2 linked regions of the Xenopus tropicalis genome follow. The main gene of each other region encodes a partner of the protein of the gene in region 2 in a complex. Links are inferred from orthologs where the notes say so. Each region holds a gene or a part of one and is shown on either strand. Other genes may lie near its edges.

Evidence for each region. Proteins that work in one complex are often made in the same cells at the same time.
Region 1: the proteins of alk (region 2) and alkal2 are in contact, whole or in part, in a cryo-EM structure (PDB 9G5I), measured with the Homo sapiens proteins. The link is inferred for Xenopus tropicalis from reciprocal best matches to the Homo sapiens genes ALK and ALKAL2. Residues at the interface, in NP_004295.2 of Homo sapiens: Leu684, Tyr739, His755, Ser758, Leu760, Phe856, His857, Glu859, Leu965, Tyr966, Thr967, Pro968, Leu970, Lys971, Val972, Met973, Glu974, Glu978, Asn980, Val992, Glu994, Cys995, His996, Met997, Phe1007, Asp1009; in NP_001002919.2 of Homo sapiens: Ser112, Lys113, His114, His116, Arg117, Leu118, His120, Asn121, Thr122, Arg123, Asp124, Arg133, Arg136, Leu137, Arg140, Leu141.

The regions. Positions count from the first base shown.
Region 1 is NC_030681.2:133,736,471-133,740,772, forward strand, and holds the start of alkal2 (ALK and LTK ligand 2), read right to left. Parts: upstream 2,853-4,302; 5' UTR 872-2,852; intron 811-871; exon of another isoform or gene 307-810; 5' UTR 256-306; coding exon 1-255. UniProt on the Homo sapiens protein: Cytokine that acts as a physiological ligand for receptor tyrosine kinases LTK and ALK, leading to their activation. Cytokine-binding is sufficient to activate LTK. In contrast, ALKAL2-driven activation of ALK is coupled with heparin-binding to ALK.
Region 2 is NC_030681.2:6,140,067-6,143,662, forward strand, and holds part of alk (ALK tyrosine kinase receptor), read right to left. Parts: intron 2,453-3,596; coding exon 2,388-2,452; intron 386-2,387; coding exon 256-385; intron 1-255. UniProt on the Homo sapiens protein: Neuronal receptor tyrosine kinase that is essentially and transiently expressed in specific regions of the central and peripheral nervous systems and plays an important role in the genesis and differentiation of the nervous system.

The DNA.
Region 1 (4,302 bases), about 130 Mb from region 2:
CTCATCTTGATAATATCCATAATCTGGCATGGGGTTCTCCTTCTCGTCCAGGCTGTAGTCTTCTTTCCTGGCCAAATGCTGCTTCCCATTGCCTTCCTGCAGACGGTACACTTTAACCTCTTTAATGAGTCTCACAATGAAGTTCATCAGGTTTTTCTCAGTTATATTCCTGGAGTCAGTCCTCTCTTTGCAGTGGCAGGCAGGCAGCACCAAGAGCACCACAACCAGCATGGCAGCACCCCTGAGTTTATTCATAGCTGCTCCAGGTAAGCGCAATCCGTCCAGTTTGGAATCCTGCTGCTGCTGCTGCTTCGCGGACAAGTAACAATAATGAAGAAAGAATGAATAATCATGAAGTGGGTGTTTTTGTTAAGACTCCCAGCCCTGTCACTGGTGTGGTTAACCCTTTCCCTTTCACTAACAAAACTCATGTGCTCACTTTTCACTGAAACAGAGGATGAATCTAGGGACCCTGGGTACTGCAGGGAGGTTGGGGTCCCAATATGAGGGAAATGGAAAAGAGCACACAGATATGCAAGCTTTCACCCTACAGTGATTGTTGAGCTATAACTCCAAACATTCCCCAACAGCTTGCAGTTCAACAACAGCTGGAGGGGCACAGGCTGAATTAAAAAGGGTCCCTGAGATACAGGGAGGAATAGGGCAAATGTCCTATCTGTCCTACCCTAAAATATCTTCTGCCCTCCATGCAGTAATAGCCACTTTTGCAACTTGGATTCCCTAATACTAGCCATCCCCAGTAATTACTGCCAAAGAAGTGTGTTTCTGAGTTGTGCACAAGTGATACAAGTGCACAAGTGATACAAGTGCCCAAGTGATACAAGTGTAACCTAAACCACAATCACCTCACCTTGTCTGTTGCTTTCTGGCACTTTTGGAGAAAAGCTTCAGTTCTTCTGGCTGGTAAATGGCACAGACCAGTGACACTTTGGGAAAAGCTTCAGTTCTCCTGGCTGGTAAATGGCACAGACCAGTGACACTTTGGGAAAAGCTTCAGCTCTCCTGGCTGGTAAATGGCACAGAGCTTGTGGCACTTTCTAGGTTGAATCTGGGGACGGGGGGGGGGGGGGAGAGTTGCTGCGACTCTCAGCTGGTGGAAACCATCGCCAGCGCTGTGAATGGCTCTTCTATATATAGTTTAGGATGCCGGTGAGGTGGCTGCTGGGTCTGATAATATCGAATTGGATGTGGGAGGAAACAATGCAGGTTGGTGCGAGTACGTTTAGCCCCCCCAGTGCGACCCCCAGTCGCAGGACAGTAGCGCACTTTATCCACTTTGCGCTGCAGACGTAAGGAGCGCTCTCTCTCCGATGGGACTGGCTCATCAGATAGCGCTTCCCAGGGAAACCCATTGCCTTGTTCCCGGTCGCACAACTCCCTCCTGCAGGAATCGCTGCGGCTTCTACCGGGAAACGATTTAACTGGAAATGTACAGATCGCGCTTTGCTTGGAATCTGGGGCCCTTGGGCTGATGGTCAGGCTGCCTGGCAGGGGCCCCACTCCGGCTCCCTATATGCACCCTGTACTGCCCAGTGGCCCTCACTCTCTTACTCTGCTTTCTCTATGGGCGGAAGAATTGAAAGTAAATGCGCTCAGGTTGAATTTTGTATTAAAACTGCTGTGTGCCCCCCACATTGCTTTTACCCTAGGCGCAATATAACATGGCGATTGCATTATCTTCTGCTTTTGTTTTAGGTGCAGATCTGCTAAATACCCCCAACTTTACCCCTCCTACTGGCACAGGGTCCAACAGGTGCAGATCTGCTAAATACCCCCAACTTTACCCCTCCTACTGGCACAGGGTCCAACAGGTGCAGATCTGCTAAATACCCCCAACTTTACCCCTCCTACTGGCACAGGGTCCAACAGGTGCAGATCTGCTAAATACCCCCAACTTTACCCCTCCTACTGGCACAGGGTCCAACAGGTGCAGATCTGCTAAATACCCCCAACTTTACCCCTCCTACTGGCACAGGGTCCAACAGGTGCAGATCTGCTAAATACCCCCAACTTTTCCCCTCCTACTGGCACAGGGTCCAACAGGTGCAAATTGCTAAATACCCCCAACTTTTCCCTTCCTACTGGCACAGGGTCCAACAGGTGCAGATCTGCTAAATACCCCCAACCTTGCCCCTCCTACTGGCACAGGGTCCGACAGGTGCAGGTCCGCTAAATACCCCCAACTCTGCCCTTCCTACTGGCACTGGGTCCAACAGGTGCAGATCTGCAAAATACCCCCAACTCTGCCCTTTCTTTCAGCAAGGGGACCTTTGGGTACAGATCTGCAAAAGAAGAGCCCCAACTGTGCTTTCCCTAGTGGGACCCCAGTATCTCCCTACTGGTACAGGGATGCCCCGGTGGATATATGCAATGGAATATCCCCATTCTGCCTTCCCTGCTGCCATAGGGGCCCAGGTACAAATGTGCTTGGGAATATCCCCATTCTGCCTGCCCTGCTGCCATAGGGACCCAGGTACAAATGTGTTTGGGAATATCCCCATTCTGCCTGCCCTGCTGCCATAGGGACCCAGGTACAAATGTGCTTGGGAATATCCCCATTCAGCCTGCCCTGCTGCCATAGGGACCCAGGTACAAATGTGCTTGGGAATATCCCCATTCTGCCTGCCCTGCTGCCATAGGGACCCAGGTACAAATGTGCTTGGGAATATCCCCATTCTGCCTGCCCTGCTGCCATAGGGACCCAGGTACAAATGTGCTTGGAAATATCCCCATTCTGCCTGCCCTGCTGCCATAGGGACCCAGGTACAAATGTGCTTGGGAATATCCCCATTCAGCCTGCCCTGCTGCCATAGGGACCCAGGTACAAATGTGCTTGGGAATATCCCCATTCTGCCTGCCCCGCTGCCATAGGGACCCAGGTACAAATGTGCTTGGGAATATCCCCATTCTGCCTGCCCTGCTGCCATAGGGACCCAGGTACAAATGTGCTTGGAAATATCCCCATTCTGCCTGCCCTGCTGCCATAGGGACCCAGGTACAAATGTGCTTGGGAATATCCCCATTCTGCCTGCCCTGCTGCCATAGGGTCCCAGGTACAAATGTGCTTGGGAATATCCCCATTCTGCCTGCCCTGCTGCCATAGGGTCCCAGGTACAAATGTGCTTGGGAATATCCCCATTCTGCCTGCCCAATAGGCTGCTCAGTCAGTTGCAGATGCCAAACAACAGTGCACTCACACCTTGTCACACTGGAGGATGCCAAATGGCAGGGGAGGCTTTCCCCAGCTCAGGCAGTCAAGGTGAATGATGGAAAAATCTGATCTTGTTGAACTTTTCTATTTGCTTTCATTTGTGTGTTTACCACTCCCAGCAGAAAGCAAATAATGTGTATGATCGCGGCTTTTCTGGATGTGAAGAAGTAGAACGGGACAGAAATAGGGTGTAAACAATGATAATACCCAGAAGAGCGACAGTTTCATCCCTAAAGACTTACAGGCACACTATGTCATTAAGGGATCAAAGAGCATGCCTTTGTGTCACACTATTCCTGCACTGTATGGCCTCTCCTTGAGCGACACACCCTGGCACATACTGGAATTGCACTCTCAAATGTTTCCTCAGTTTCATATAGCATTTATGCTTGAAATGTCAGGCTCAGGCTGCTTGGTTTTAGAACATAAAAACTATTACATTAAACACTTACTGTATAGTTAAAATATAGCCAGTTACATGCACTGATACTAGATGGTTCTGCCCAGGACAAGGTTAGATTGCAACAACTGGGGCCCAGAGTAAGTACTAAGAAAAATACTGAAATCATGGTCTGACTTCCCAGCACTACTGCTGGCCGTGCAGATAGAACATATAATTGTAGGTCGACAGTAATGTTTCCTCTTTAGGATAGTCTGTGAAATGTAAGAGAATTACTGGGGATGAAGAGAAGGTTGTGGCCACTCATTTATTACACTGAAGTCTTTATTTTTAACAACTACACGATTATTAAATGCTATTTTCCCTTCAGTCGGTAAAAATTCTGTTAGTTACTGAGCTGGAAACAGACTAAAGGGCATCTCTTTCCCCCATGATGTCTCCACCTTGGATCGCATTGTCTTCTTCTGTCATCTTGAGTCTCTGGCTGTTTGATAGGAACTTACTCACCATAACAACAGCAAAGGGAAAGTTTACTTAATGATACGACAGTGTTAAACAGTTATATAAAGTGTTTCCTCTGTCTTTATTGGGAATGGTTATTGACTGATTTAACTTAACAGTATTTTTGATTTTGCATTTTTTTGCAGTAGAATACATAAAAGTTTTATTT
Region 2 (3,596 bases):
AATTGCAAAGTTGCTAAGAATAGGGCATTCTATAACATATTAAAAGTTCATGTAAAGGCGAGCCAGCCATTTAAAGGGCATATAAACCCCACACAAAGGTCCATAATGCAATTAAGCAACAAAAGATTGAGCTTTTCCCCCCCAAGTGGAACAAACATGGAGGCCGCTGTGTGTGTCACGGATCCAGGCTAATGGGGCTCTGCAGTGGGGCCGGGGGGCTCTGCAGCACAAGGAGCAGACAAGGGGGGGTCTCACCAGCCGGGGCCGCGTCTGCCTGAGGAAGGATTTCAGGTCCCCTCCGGCCATGAGTTCCAGGAGGATAAACCGGGGCAGCGCCTGCAGGCTGACACCGATGCACCGCACTATGTTCTGGTGGCTGAATTTACTGGGAGAGAGAGAGAGAGAGAATACGTGAGGTTCTGGCTCCGACCCAAATGTAATTACCATTCCCACATCTCAACGGTCAGAAGGACATGAAGGTCAGTGTTTTGCACATAAATATTGTATTGTCCCTGCCGACCTGTCCTCCCCCTCACGGTACCGACCCCTCCTGGTACCGACCCCTCCCCACCCTCCCGGTATCGACCCCTCCCCACCCTCCCGGTACCGACCCCTCCCCACCCTCCCGGTACCGACTCCTCCCCACCCTCCCGGTACCGACTCCTCCCCACCCTCCCGGTACCGACCCCTCCCCACCCCTCCCCGGTACCGACCCCTCCTGGTACCGACCCCTCCCCACCCTCCCGGTACCGACCCCTCCTGGTACTGACCCCTCCCCACCCTCCCGGTACCGACCCCTCCTGGTACCGACCCCTCCCCACCCTCCCGGTACCGGACCCCTCCTGGTACCGGACCCCTCCCCCACCCTCCCGGTACCGACCCCTCCCGGTACCGACCCCCCCCCACCCTCCCGGTACCGACCCCTCCCGGTATCGACCCCTCCCCACCCCTCCTCAGATTTGATAATCAAGCCTGTCCGTTCTACATCTGCCCAATTCTAGGCTGTGAGTCGGGGAGGCCTGTCGGCCCTTAAGGTCCCCATACACGGGCCGACTATAGCTGCCGATATGGGTCCCTTGGACCGATTCGGCAGCTAATCGTCCCGTGTATGGGGAGAGCAGAGCGGCCTGGCCTGGCCGACCGATATCTGGCCAGATCTCGATCGGCCAGGTTAGAAAATCCGGTCGGATCAGGGACCGCATCGGCTCGTTGATGCGGTCCCCGATCCGACTGCCCCATTGCCGCCCACATAATCCGATCGTTTGGCCCCAGGGCCAAACGATCGGATTATTTTTTTTTTTACCTAAATACTCCCCGATATCGCCCACCCGTAGGTGGGGATATCGGGGGAAGATCCGTTCGCTTGGCGACATCGCCAAGCGAGCGGATCTGCTCGTGTATGGCCACCTTTAGTCGGTCGTAACGACCCCAATGTTTATCGGCCGCTGCCCGGCACTTTGCCCTGAGATTTCACTAGGGTTCCCTTGGGTGCTCTGGGTCACATTTTATTTCTCTTTGTCTCCAGGAACAGCACCCACGTGAGGGGCATAAGCGGGTGCCCAATTCCTACAGTGAGAAAGAGCCAATTAGGCCCGAAACGTTGCTGCTGCCCGCATTGTGACAATAAAGGCAATTTAATAAAATAAACGTGGGGCAGTTTAGGCCAAAACCCCAATGGGCCCGACCCAGACACCCAGCGATGCCCCACAAACCAGACTCAAAGCCCTTATTGGCCGGGGCCCCAGTAGAACCATTTCCGACCCGTGTTGGTTTCAGACCCTGAGTGACAAGGGCAGTTCTACTTAATGGCGACAAACCCATTGAGTGGCTGTAGCCGATTGTGCTGATTGTGTGGCTTCTAATGGGGACAGTAAGGGACCGTTTAACCTTCACCCTGACAGCCAATCGAGCGCAGTCACATCATTAACAGCCGGGGGCCACACTTCGCTGGTTCTATTGATGTTCTGTCTCCAGTTCCACCGGCTCATTATCAGCCTGCTGTCCCTGCAGAACCCGCTGGGCCCCCAGCCAGGAACAGAAAGCAACAGAGCCCCCCCTTACTCAGGGGCCCCCCAGCTGTTTGTCACTCACAGTCGGGCCCTGTGTAATGGTTCCTCCTTGCTAAGAACCCCAGTGTGGGGGATTCAAGAACCCGCTGGTACCTGCACATTGCAGGCTTGGGGTAATTCAGAGATTGGCACCGGTGCCCCGGGGCACTGAGGTCCGGCATTTAGCATGGAAACGTGCAACGGGCCCGATACCCAGAACCACTCTGTGTGCTGACCTCTGGGTAATGCCAGGGCCTATTATGAGTCTTACTTCGGACCTGTCTGGGTAACAAGGGGAACCGGCTGGCTCGGCTCTTGATATTAACCAGGGCCCCCTACCTTATAATCAGAGCTTCCATCAGAAAGTCCAGTTCGTCTTGTTCGGAACAAACTTCTGGAAGAGTCTAGAAATAGAAATAAGAACCAACGTCATTAAAGTATCAGGTCCAACAAGACTTCATCTGCCCTCACCCCAATATGAATAGATGAACCCCAAGGTATTACCCCCCCCCTCATTCCCCAACTCAGCTGACAAATAACTCGGCTCCTAACGAGGAAGCAGTGACCTTTGGGCCCCGTTGGAATCAATACTCCCAGTCTGTCTCTAAACCAATAGGAACGCAGCGTGCAGTAAAGATGGATATTCCCCCCCGGGAGTCATTTATCAGCAGAAACCGATATTAATCTCACTAATTTCTCTCATCCGCTGCCCAAAAGGGCACAGAAACGCAACTGCTCTCCGGCGGTATCTGGATCTGATTTTAGGGGATGTTTCCAATCCGGCACTGAGAACGGAGCAAATCCAGACCCCGGGGGCACGTGTTTTTAGAATGGGCATCTCTTAGTACTGGCTTACCTATTGTTTCTCCTACTCCCATGTAACTGGAGGAGTCCCAAGCCGGACTTGGATTTCTTACTATTGAGTGCTATTCTGATACCTACTGGGAGCTGCTATCTTGCTCCCTTCCCATTGTTCTGCTGATCGGCTGCTGGGGGTGAGGGGGGGGGGATATCACTCCAACTTGCAGCGCAGCAGTAAAGTGTGCCTGAGTCTGAGCTTTCAGAAGGAGCCAGCGCTACACATTAGAACTGCTTTCAGCTAACCTATTGTTTCTCCTACTCCCATGTAACTGGGGGAGTCCCAAGCCGGACTTGGATTTCTTACTATTGAGTGCTATTCTGATACCTACTGGGAGCTGCTATCTTGCTCCCTTCCCATTGTTCTGCTGATCGGCTGCTGGGGGTGAGGGGGGGGATATCACTCCAACTTGCAGCGCAGCAGTAAAGTGTGCCTGAGTCTGAGCTTTCAGCCAGCGCTACACATTAGAACTGCTTTCAGCTAACCTATTGTTTCTCCTACTCCCATGTAATTGGAGGAGTTCCAAGCCGGACTTGGATTTCTTACTATTGAGTGCTATTCTGATACCTACTGGGAGCTGCTATCTTGCTCCCTTCCCATTGTTCTGCTGATCGGCTGCTGGGGGGAGGGGGGGGGATATCACTCCAACTTGCAGCGCAGCAGTAAAGTGTGCCTGAGTCTGAGCTTTC